Coturnix japonica: one gene and its partners. The protein of the gene in region 2 interacts with the protein of the main gene of each other region in a pairwise test. Links are inferred from orthologs where the notes say so. Each region holds a gene or a part of one and is shown on either strand. Other genes may lie near its edges. The genes, in order: HSPB8, QRICH1 and POGZ.

Region 1 (4,109 bases), on a different chromosome or scaffold from region 2:
CTGGGGCAGGGCTGTGCCATTGGCCCCACTGCCGGCTGTGTCTGCAGGCTGCCAAGGGGCCAGCGTGGAGATGGAGTTCAAAACAAAACCAAAAACAGAGAAGAAGAAGACACGGGACCACGGGGTTCCACTTCAACTTAAGAAGAGAAAAGGGCACTTTTTCGCTATTGTTACAAATATCCCATCTGCTCACCTTACAGCATTAAAAGAACCGTAACGAAGACACCCATTCTGCTGGGTCTGATGGATGCAAAGCCTCTACCAGAGTGTCAGACCACTGTGGGGCAGCTGCTCCCAGGGAGCGGGAGGGGCCGTGCCCCGGGGCCACCCCGCTGGGGCCCGAGGAGCGGGGTTGGGGGGGAATAGGGTCGGGGGAGTGGAGCAGGGGCACAGGGGCCCTCAGGCACAGGTGGCCTCTGGGTTCTCTAATGGGATCTCGCTGCCACAGCTGCCCTCGCCGTACTGCTGGTAGGGGGGGATCTGGGGCGCCTCGATGATCAACAGCCCCTCCGGCGACAAGGAGGCAAAGACAGTGATGGGGTCCACCTCGTAGGGCAGCCTGGAGGGGGAGAGAGATGTGTGGGGTTAGGAGATGGCGCAGCCATGTGGGGCTCACAGCCTTCCCACTGAGATTGCCCAGCAGGAACCCTGTCTGGGCTCACAACCCCCAGTTGTGTTACTGCTGCAGTGCCTGGGAATGCATAGGGATATTTAAAGTGGCCCCTGGGCTGCCTGGCGCTCTGTTTAATCTCCGTGGCAGATGTGTTTGATGGGACGTCACTGCTGCCCGCGCTCGCCCGGCTGCTGCGTCGTGCCCATGCCTTGCCCATAAAAGGAGCCTGGCTGCTGGCTCCCACCCGCAGCACACGCGGCTTTGCTGGGAGGTTTTGGTAAAGCGAAGCTGCAGAGCCACTGCTGCACTGCTGTGGTTTGCCCTCGGTGCTGGGCTCGCCTTCCCTCCCTGCTGTTGTTGTTGCTGGGGTGAGTCAGCGCGATAGCAATCAGACTGACATCACTCAGATGTGGATGTGGGTGCACGTGTGGCCGCACACCAGGGATGGGTGTGTTTTGGGGCTGGTGATGAGATCAGCCCCAAAAGAGGAGCACGGTGCTTTGCATCCCTTTCTGCTTTCATATCTGGGCTGGAGGAGCCCACAGGGCTGGTTTGGGGATGGGAACAGCGGGGCTGCGGCCATCGCATGTCATGGGGATGGGGCTGTATTTGTGGGAGGACGCCCCGGGGCAGGGTGATACCTACTGGATTTTCTTGGTGAAGTTCTTGGAGACGATGCCTCCTTCCACCTGCTGCTCCTCGTGTTTGCCTGCGGGGAGGACAAAGGCGTGTCACCACCACACTAGGCTCAGGGCTTAAGCCAACAAGCAAAACAAACCCCAGGAACCCTTCCAAAGGAGTTGTTTTCCCTTCCCTCCGTGGGTGTCTCCCATGTGAGGAGGGTTACACCACAACCAACGAAGAACAGCACTAAGCGTCTGGCCTGTGAGGCTGCACTGGTTGGAGCAGGAGGAGGAGGAAGAGCTGCTCTCCCCGCCAGACACCTTTGCTTCCCATGGAGCCTGAGCCCTGCTTGCTGCCAGGAGCCAGGGCTTAAGAAGGAGCCATCAGACATGATCAAATCTTTGGATCCCATCCCCATCCTCAGCCGCTCTGCTGGGCTGTGTGCAAGCCCTACGAAGATGGGGCTCAAGCTCTGAGGCCTCCTGGCTCCCCCCAACCCACAGCATCCCCCCAGATCAGCCCCTGGAAGAAGTGCTGCGTCCTGGCACGGTGCTGGCAGCCCCAGGAGGTGCAGGGCCCTGGCCAGGGCGCAGCGCTGGAGCTCTGGGAGGTGCTTCAGGCTGCCTCGCTCTCGGCCCCTTTAAAGGGAATCTCCCTCAGCTCCGTCCTCGCTGGCTATAATTAACCCAGCCAGGCTGGGGCCCCTCTCGGCAGCTCGCAGCTGGGTGCCAGCTGGAACACAAATCCCAGAGATTCACCCCAAAGGAGGCTCGGCCTTCCCGTGTTGGTGCTGAGCACGCCACCATGGTCCCCAAGCCCCATCCCACTCCCCAAGCCCCAGCCCTCACCTGACACCTCGACATATCCATCCTTGGTTTTGACCGTCAGCTCCTCAGGCTTGAAGCTGTGCACGTTGACGCACACCTTCCAGGGCTCGCGGGAGGTGGGCACAGGGCTGCGGCTCTCCGGGTACCCCCCAAAGCGGGTGCTGTAGCCGGGGGCCATGGCGGAAGCGCGGGCACGCAGCGGGCCCGGCCAGGTGGGGGTGAGCCGGGGCCGAGCCCAGTCAGGCCAGTCTGCTGTCAGGTCCCCAGGGAAGGGTGAGAGGCCAAAATCATCATCCAGGAGGCGTGAGGTCAAACCGGGCTCTCGGAATGGGTCGCGGAGGCTCCGCCGGCCAGGGTAATGGCAGGAGAAGGGCAGCTGGCTGTCGGCCATGGCTCTATGCTCCTTGTGGAGCCTCAAAGGCTGCGGAATACCCCGGGGAGCCCAGCCCAGGGCAGGCACATCCACACGCGGGGGTTTGGGTGGGAGCCCGGCACCGGGCAGAGCGCGATGGGTGGAAGAGGTTCAGCAGGGCTGAGGCATCCGGAGCTTGGAAAGCAAGTGTGGGGAGGACGGTGTGAGCTGCAAGAAAACGCTTCCTGATTGGCTTCGGTCCCAGGGATCGGGTGGAGGAAAATAAAACTTCTTGTCCGGAGAGGGGGGGGGAAAAAATCAAACCGAATATCCCGAGATTAAGAGCTTCTCTCTCCCCTCTTGCTCCCACAAGCACTGTGCTGCTTCCCCACCGCTCCCGGGTGAGAGCTGCAATAAATGCCTGAGCTCCGAGCCGAGAAACTTCTGCAACCTTCCACCGCCGGGCGAGCGCTATTTATACGCTTGCGGGAGGGGGAGGCTGTGTTTTGCAATTCCTGCCCTGTCAGCCGAGTATTTTGGAGAGGATGAAACAGCCGTGGAGAATCCGGGCTGTGCAGCTGACCTCCTGCGCCGGCCTGAGGATCCCAGCAGGCGCGGTGTTTTTGGCACCTGCCTAAAAATAACTGGGGAGCTCAGGGTGGGCTGCACACACTCCTGTGTCACCCATCAAAAATACCCCCAGGTGGGGCCGGGCCCCACACTGCACACCCACTGCACCCGGAGGTGCGTCACCAGCAAAAAGTGGCTGGGATTGTGAGCTGATGCCCAGGGCTGGGCCTGGAGCAATGCCCCAGAATCATTGGGGTGGGAGTGGGACCCTACGTGGCCCCGTCCTCACCCACCTCCTCCTCCTCCTCCTCCTTCTCATCGCGTGCCTGGCCGTGCCGCAGCAGGGCGAGGCGTAATCACAGCCGCGCGGGGCTAATTACAGGGCTGTAGGGGATGGGGTGCGGCGGGGTACCTGGAGCTGGTGGCACTGGGGCTCCTGGTGGCAGTGGGGTTCCTGCAGAGGGGGTCCCAGCACGCCGATGAGTGTCACCAGTGATGTGCCAGATGCTGCACTGCTTCCTCGCTCCCTCCTGTTTCTACCTCGCTTTCCTCAGCATCTGCAATCTCTCTAATGGACTTGCTGGAATAAATTGCAGCAGGAAGGCCGTAATGCGCTGCAGGCCACGCTGCAATACAGCCGCTGGTGGCTCAGAGGGCATTAATCATGGAGCAGAGACATGGCATCGCTGGGCAGGGCCTTTGCCTGCATGGGGAGCGGCTGCTTCCTGCCCTTATCCCTCATCTTCACTGGTGGGCATGGGGAGACACAGCCAGGCATCATGGGGTCTCCCCAGGGACTGGGCTATGACTGGAGGTGTGGGGAGGAGCAGAGAAGCAGCAGTCAGCAGAGGCTGAAGTGTCCTCTATCTCTTGCCCTGCCTGGCTGAGTGCTCCCATCACCCAGAGTGACACCAACACACAGTTTGGGACAGCCCCATGGCCGCCTCCATCCCTACCACATTTCACCCCGAGATCTCCAGTCCCACATTTCCCGAGTAGCTCCAGGCCATCCTCCCTCCCAGGCCAGGAATCCGTCTTGTCGCCTTGCTTATCCCCATTAGTCACACGTCCCTCTCCAGGAATCCCAATTTAGCTCCTGTTGTCACTCCAAATCTCCCAGTCA
Region 2 (3,602 bases):
CCATGTAAACAAAAGCTCAGTGTGTTTGGACTGCTGTCACGTAACAGCAGAGAGTGGTTAGAGATCACTGTAGCGCTTGCTGGTATTGGTGGGAGCTGGGCTTGGACTTGGCAGTGCGGTTACGCCACTGACAGCCTTGGACTTGCTCCCGTCTTCACACGGTTGTTGCAGTCTCCTGTTCAATCAAAAACCTCTGTCCTGGTTCCGCTTGGTTAAATCACTGTGAACTGTTGCTAAGGGTTCTGCTTTTCATACTTCTATTAAGTACTGCAGTCAATATGTGCATACAGTGATGTTGTCCCTTTTTCTACCTCTCCGCTGGTAATAACACATCTCCTCTCCTAGTCTGAATGCTGTGCTGTTTCATGTCTTTTCACAGCCATCTCAGCAGCTGGTGGTGTTAGAGCTCAAATCCATTTACCCTGTATCGGGACTAATGAGTACCTTAGAAACAAGCAGTATGCTCACTGCAGACAGAAACAATTTGTGGGTTTAAACAAGTTAAGTCAATAAGAGAAGAACGCTGCCAGTGTGTACCCTGGAGCTTTCTAATGTTCTCAGGTGTAGTCATCTTTTTTTTTCCTCCTTGCACTCACTCTCCCAAATCATCTGACTGCCGCTGTCCCTCTGCTGTCTTTAAATGTTTCTCGTTAATCTTTTCCTATATTAAAAAGGTAACAGGAACCGATGCTGCTGTTGGCTGCTTAATTTCCAGTGCTCTGCTTCTCCGTGTGCGTAGTTCTGTTTGAGGAATCTCTTGATTCCAGTGCTCTCCTTTCACTTGCTGTGTTCAGATCGATAGGTCTCTACTAGTTTTAATAGCAGAGGGCTGAATGCTGCGTCTGCTGCTCTTCTGTTCCGCTTCCTATTAGCTGTTTAGAGTAGAGCTGCATGGCCTGGCAGAACACCCTGCCTGGTTCTCCCACCTCCATGGCTGTGAAGCAGGGCCATGTGTATTGATTTCTGAACTTCTCTCGCTAGCGTTGCATGCTGCAAACGAATGAGATCTGTGATTTGATTTATTCTGTGATGAGACTCGCCTGGTCTGGGTGAGATATAATTCTGGAAGGTGTTACATGGCAGTGAGCTCTTTGAAATAGGTGTCATGATTGTACCTGGTGGCATTCTGACTTCCCTGAACTGCTGAGGGTTAATTTGTAGCGCTGCAAGGTGCCTTACAAAGCTAAAGCATCTGTCTCAGGGCATCTGGCCCTACATGTTTGCTGGATTTCATATGGTGCTCAGTATCAGAAGTTAGTCACTGGAGCTGGGAATATCCTTGCACCAGAGGAGCGCCGTAGTTAAGAGTTTTCACTTTCTCTTTCCTTAAGGAACCCTCAGGACCTTGCAATATGAATAATTCTCTGGAGAACACCATTTCCTTTGAAGAATACATCCGTGTGAAGGCACGAACGATCCCCCAGCACAGGATGAAGGAGTTCCTGGACTCCCTGGCTTCCAAGGGGCCGGAAGCTCTGCAGGAGTTTCAGCAGACAGCCACCACCACGATGGTGTACCAGCAGGGAGGCAACTGCATTTACACGGACAGCACAGAGGTGGCCGGGTCTTTGCTTGAACTTGCTTGCCCTGTGACAACCAGTGTCCAGCAGCAAACTCAGCAAGAGCAGCAGATACAGGTTCAGCAACCCCAGCAAGTCCAGGTAAGCATCTTAAATCATCTTTGGAGGTATATATGACTTGTTAACCTGCAGAATAGTGCTCAGAGCCAGCTACTGGCTAACCTGAAACCAGAGGCAGGCGCTTAAGAAGCAGGACCATTCAGCTTCATACAGAACAGTGTTTCCCTCTTGTTTAAGGAATTTGGTAGTAAATTTGTCTTGCTGAGCCTCCATTGAGCCCCGCTGTAGGAGGAGTAACATACATAGCAATGTAGTGGTGTAACCTATTTGAGAAATGGTTGACAGTTTTGGCATGTACACAGCTCCCCGAAGCCTTGCACTCTGTGAAGCAGCTATAAATACCCTTCCTCCTCTGCTGGTCTTGCTTTTTCTTGTTGTTTAGAGTGGCTGTGGGATCTCACTCTTTTTGCTTTTATTTTTTTGCTTATTTTTTTATGAAATCAGTACTCTTCCAATAATTTTACTTGAATGTTGTGGAAGCTGTAGTTCTCGAGCTGGCTTTTAAAGGTGGAGAGAAATGCACAGAAGTTGACGTAAGTTGTGAACCATAGGAAGATGCTTTTCGTGAAAGGTGTTCTAAAAGGAGCGTATATGTCATGGAAGTTGGCTTTTTTGCACAGTTGTAGGATTCTTCTGCAGCTCTTTTATCGGGTATTAAAATAATTTGTATTAATTATTAAATGAGAAAAATCAGACATCAAGAAAAATATGTAACTTTGAGGACCAGCTGCCTGGGTCCTCAAACACTCCTTAAAGAGCTCATAGGTGGTGGGGCGTTACCAAGGTTCTCTTAAGGTGCATCTCCAAATGGCTGAACTCTGGCTGTGGCTGTGATTTTGATACGCTTCAGATGGGAAGCTTTCTGACTTGTGCAGCCTGCATCTAAGGTTGTGAGCTTTCTTCTTTTGCAACAGATGAGGGTACCATTGCTGCGGTACAGACCTGTGCTAACATCTCACTTGTGCGCTCTTATCCTACCGTAAAGACAAACTTTCCTCTTTCATTGGGTAACTTGTCTCCAATTACTCTTTCTGTTGAGTAACTGAATGCTCAGCTAGGACTTCTGTAACCCATTGCCCTACAGTAACTTGTGACACAAGGCTTTTGAAGAATAAAAGCCTCTAGTCTCACAGATAGATGCCTTAGATCTCTGTGTGAGTCTATTAGAAGTGGTCAGGGGTGGCACTGGTTCTGTCTACTGTCACGTTTTGGGGGAGAAGTTTCATTTTTCAGTTCAGCAGAAGAATTCGTAGAAGGACTAGGGCTTTTTCAGTGCCTCAGCCTTGAAGATGTTAAAGGCCTCATACCAATCATAAAGTTGACAAGGAATATGTATGAATGCATGTGTTTCCTACTGCTGCCTCCTTCTGGAACTCTTCAGAGTTCAGGCTTGACCCTTGCAAGCCTCCTAGTAACAGAGATAGGGAGGGAGGTCAAATATCACGCGCTCCTGACCTTCTTGAAAATAACTATAGAGTTGCTGCCAGTTATGTTCCTGTTTTGTAAACCAAATGGCCTGCACCTTATGGAGAATGGAAAAAAAATCTTAACAAAAGTCAAGCTCTCAAAAAGCTTTTGTAAAATACATTGTGTACTTTTCTCCTTTGCCTTTGATGCAACTCTGCTTTAGTATACCTGCTTTCACATCTGTCAGTACAGACAGTAGTGTTTGTTTTGCCTTCTGTGCTTTGTGTTGGGGCTCTGGGGGTGACAGTGTTCCACCACAGCAGTGTGTTCTGATTCCTCTGTCTCACTTTGCTGTTTTATGATAATCTTTGGTCATCTTCTGAGATCTTAATCAAACTTAAATAATCCCAGTTCTTGACTTGATAATCCTTTTTAATTCTTGCTAATCCAATTGCAAATCAGTGAAGACCCTCTGAATGACTGCGCTTCTATCTGGCAGCGTGGCGGTGTTGCTGAAGGTGACTAATAATATCACAGGTCAGATGACCTCATGGC
Region 3 (4,368 bases), on a different chromosome or scaffold from region 2:
GGGGTCCATTTGGGAAGCACACGACTCACCAACATCATGCTTTGAGAATGAAGGAAACGACATTTCAAAGGATGCAGGAGATGCAAATGTTCTTGGATTTGAAGTGCACACTTGTGTGTGTCTTAAAAACGACGTTGGTTGGTTGGAATTGGGTGATCTTCATGGTCCCCTCCAATTTATTCTACGATTCTATGCAAAATATGCTGGCAGTCGATAAAAACAAGCATTATCAGTTTTCACTGTATTATCTTCAGTATTCAGCCTGTACCATATGCAGCCAAAAGCTGTGTGGCCCATCACGACAGAATTATTCACAGTAAGAAGTTTATTATTAAAGACATGAATCATTTGAAATTATCCGTGGGGGAAATGTAAGGAGAATCCCAGGGAGATCTGTTGGCACGACAGTGCAGGGCACTCGGGTGGCACTGATCCAGACACATAGTGAGGAAATGCACAACTGTAAAGTGTTTCTGTGGTTGCTTTGGTTATGTTTGGGATGCTTACAGACATGATGTTGGGTTCAGGCTGCAGGGCACACTGCTCAACCCAGGTGGTGGAATCACTGACCTGGAGGTGCTCAAGAGGAGGGTGGATGTGGGACTGAGGGATGTAGGCAGTGGGCATGGTGGGGTGGGGGTGGGTTGGACTTGGTGATCTTAGAGGTCTTTCCAACCCCAGCGATCCTATGGGGACAGATCCTGAAGGCATTCTCTTACTGCATCTACCTCAGCAGTTGTGTTTAGGAACCTGTGGAGATGCTGATGGCCATTCACTCCAAAGCATTCACCTTGAAGCTGTCCCTCAGAAGTGACACTGGTGTCCACTTTTGACATTAATTATGAGTTTCACATTAGGGAGATGAACCGATTTGCCTCTTTGTTCACCAATAAGGTCTCCCACATCTCCTCCATCACCACACTTACCTCCTGGTCACCTGGAGACACCAGAACCGCATCATTGGCTGCAATGTGGATCTCAAGCCCTGCGCAATGTTCCTTCTAATGGACGAGGGGTTTCAGCAGCTCTTCTCAATGTCTCCTTAAAACCTAAAGGTTAAAAGTGGAGGCCTGGCTCAGAACAGCACTGCCAAGCACCAAAATGGAGCTGTCTGCTGGTGGTGAGAACCCCATACAACTCAGTAACCGCAATGGTGGCATTGGGTGCTCAACACACACCAACCCAAAGCCAGGAACTGTATTATATAGTTATAAATATATATAATAAGGTTAGAAAAGGCTCCTATGATCACCATATCCAGCCCCTACCCAACCAGGGCCCTCAAAACTCTATCTCCACTACTTCTCCACACGGAGATGTGGAACCTGCGGACAGCGGGGATGGGATGATGGGCTGGGGATGGAGATGGGGTTGGAGATGAGGAGGAGGCCATAAGGACCCCATAGATAAGCGCAGCCCACACACCCCCCCCCCCTTATCTCGCCCCACTCCACCGCCCCTGAGGAGGCGTTGGCGGAAGCCCCGCCCTCCGCGTGACGTCATCGAGACGCCCACCAATCCTTGCAGAGCATCTCGGCCCCGGCAGGAAGTGACGTCACCGTCTCCCTCCGCCGCCCGGTCCCCTTTTTGTGTGTGTGTGTGGAGTGCGGCGGCGCCGCGTGTATCCCCCCGCCGCGGCTCCTCCTCCTCCTCCCGCCCCCCCCGGCCCTCCGCCCGCCGCCCGATGCCACCTGCGCTGCGCTCCCGGGGCTGAGGGACCGCGCGGAGCGGGGAAGGTGAGAGCCGGGCGGAGGGTGGGAGGAGGAGGAGGAGGAGGCCGCGGTCCGTTATGTGCCGTGGGCGGAGGGATCGGGGGGGGGGAGTTGGAGGTTTGAACCGCTCTCACACCTGGGATGTGGGAGGATTGGGAGGGATTGAGGGCGCGTACAGCACAAAGCGCGAGGATAATGGGGGGGCGGGGGAGGAGCTCCGGGCGAGGGATCCTCTCACACCCCCCGCGATCGCGGGATGCGGATCCTACACTCCCCGGCCCGTCCCCCCCCACCCCAGAGCTCCGTCCCCCCCCCCAACATTGGTGGGCGGCCATGTTGGGCACCGGGCTTATTTCTGCTGCCTTTCTCCCAGGCACGACGCGCTCAGCCCGGAGCGGGGCCGCGTTCTGTGCCGACAGGCCCTTCCTTAGGCCCCGTGCCCCCCTGCGGCCTGCAGCCTCTCCCCGGCCCCTCAGCGCTGTGGGGCGCTCCGTGGTGATGGAGGGGGGTCGTGGCCCGTCAGTCTTCGCACCGACCCCGTGGAAGGGCGCTGAGCGCAGGGCGGTGCTGAGCGCTGCTTTGTGTCCGTGGCTGTTGGTGACACGGAGCCGTGGGCCGGTGGGTGAGCAGCCCCCGCGCTGTGCCCGTGGTGGTGGAGCTCGGGGCTTTGGGTGCAGCACTGCGGGGCTGCGGGCGGGGGATCAGAACGGCCCTTCCAGCCCAACCCAACTATCAAGTGGTAGTTTCCAGCCCACCCTGTTCGTTCAGGGGTCTGGAAGTTCCCATCCAACCCAACCCATTTGCAGTCCAATCCATTTGCTATGGGAATCCTTTCTGCCTTGAGCTGTTTGCTAAGGGATCCTTTCCAGTCTGTTCACAAAGTGATTGCTTCCAACACAACCCAACTCGTTCACCAAACAATCCTTCCCAGCCCTGTGCTGTCTGCTAATTGATCCCTTCCAACTCAATCTAACCAGTAGGTGATCCAACCCAACCCATTCGTTATGAGATCCCTTCCAACCTGAGCTATTGGCTTAGGGCTCCCCTTCAACCCAACCCATTCCATGTCTGTATGGTCCCACACTTCTCCTGACTGCACCTGCTGAATCCAGGTGTTGAGCTGTCTGCTTGCTGTTGAGCTGCTTGCACTGTTTTTACCCCCACTTGCACTGTTTTTACCCCCACCACGCTGTGGTGCTGCCCTTCAGTCCCATAGAAGCCCAGTGGCTGCAATGGGACACCCCAGCTCTGTGTCCCCTGCTCCACTCCATGCTGTGCACAGGGTTGCACTGCCCTGCAGGAAACTCATGCCACAGGACAACATGCATGGTGTTAGTTTTATTAGCTTGGCTGTGCTGGGGGTGGAGGATGGGGGGATCTGTTGCTTCTTTTAGGAAACGGTTTGTGAAGAAATAGAAGTTCAGCATCTTCCCTGTGCTGGGTCTTGCTGTGCGCTGATGGTTTGAGGTTGCTGCAGATGGGAAGTTGGATCCTGGAGTGCCATACCTGGCTATAATTGTATCTGCAGTTGTGTTGTGCCTAAGAAGAGAAGTGAAGCCGTCCCACAGCTCTGAGCTCTGTCTGGGCCGGGGGGTTCTGCACGTGTTGCTCACAGATGGCAGCGTGTTGTGGATATATATGGCTGTGTTGTTTGTGTGCACGATCCCACAGCTGCTTGGAGTCTGTCAAAAGACCAACGACTGTCTTTGCTCTGACAGACCTGCCCCACGCTCCGTGCCATTGGCAGGAATGGAGCTGCAGGCAGCTTGTGGGCTCCAGAAGCAGCTTCAGGGTAGTCTCATGTTGATGAAATACACCCCAAGTATTCAGCAGAGCTGCAGAGACAGAGCAGAAAGCGGTTTGTTTTCATCACTCAGCACTTCCAACTTGAAGGTAGATAATAATCATTAAAATTGAGTGTAATAATAGATTTTAATTAGTAGGCATGGCACACATCAAAGCCTTTAATAAAATACAGAGGGCTTTAAATGATGGCATTCAGAGCAAATTTAATACGGCTGTGGAAGAACCTGGGTACCCAGCAGAGCGCATCAGTCAGTGCAGAGTGAATTCACCTCCGTGTGAGGGATGTGGCTGCTGAGCCTCCACCTGCTCCCTTCTTTCAGAGGTGTTGCTCATGATGAATGGCCAAATAAACACTAATGAAAACATCATCCAACATTTTCATCACTGAGATTATATCAGCTCGAAGCCGTGCCAGTTATTCATTAAGAGCCACTGAAGAACATTATCTTTTCTTTAGGGAAGGGATTGTGGCGTGTCTTGACAGCAGGAACCTTTATCACAGGATTCATTTGCATTTAATGTAACCTCTTAAAAAGTTAAGGTACGTTCCTTGCCATGAATACACATTATTAAGAGTGAGTGAGAAAAGTAACCAGACAGGAGTTGTGTTGAGCCTGCGTGTCTACCAAGGTTGGACAAAATGGGAGAGCAGCGGGCACTCACAAGTTGGTTTATGTATTAATTTCTATCTTGGAGCGTGTTGAGTCATCTCCAGCTCGTCTGTAGGTCTCTTAGGAACGGATCCTTGATTTTAGATCTTAGATTTTCTTCTCCGGACTCTCAGCATGGAGGTTGTTTTACAGCAAGTGGTGAGGAAAAATGAAGGGTCAATTAATTCTTAATATGTATT

What was found.
Region 1: the proteins of QRICH1 (region 2) and HSPB8 interact in binary tests that used the Homo sapiens proteins (3 or more experiments, as listed by UniProt). The two-hybrid records come from large-scale screens. The link is inferred for Coturnix japonica from reciprocal best matches to the Homo sapiens genes QRICH1 and HSPB8.
Region 3: the proteins of QRICH1 (region 2) and POGZ interact in binary tests that used the Homo sapiens proteins (3 or more experiments, as listed by UniProt). The two-hybrid records come from large-scale screens. The link is inferred for Coturnix japonica from reciprocal best matches to the Homo sapiens genes QRICH1 and POGZ.

What each region holds. Positions count from the first base shown.
Region 1 is NC_029530.1:8,625,979-8,630,087, forward strand, and holds the start of HSPB8 (heat shock protein beta-8), read right to left. Parts: upstream 2,884-4,109; 5' UTR 2,456-2,883; coding exon 2,086-2,455; intron 1,323-2,085; coding exon 1,259-1,322; intron 560-1,258; coding exon 400-559; 3' UTR 1-399. UniProt on the Homo sapiens protein: Involved in the chaperone-assisted selective autophagy (CASA), a crucial process for protein quality control, particularly in mechanical strained cells and tissues such as muscle. Displays temperature-dependent chaperone activity.
Region 2 is NC_029527.1:9,125,951-9,129,552, forward strand, and holds part of QRICH1 (glutamine-rich protein 1), read left to right. Parts: intron 1-1,331; coding exon 1,332-1,661; intron 1,662-3,602. UniProt on the Homo sapiens protein: Transcriptional regulator that acts as a mediator of the integrated stress response (ISR) through transcriptional control of protein homeostasis under conditions of ER stress.
Region 3 is NC_029540.1:2,345,930-2,350,297, forward strand, and holds the start of POGZ (pogo transposable element with ZNF domain), read left to right. Parts: upstream 1-1,560; 5' UTR 1,561-1,736; intron 1,737-4,368. UniProt on the Homo sapiens protein: Plays a role in mitotic cell cycle progression and is involved in kinetochore assembly and mitotic sister chromatid cohesion.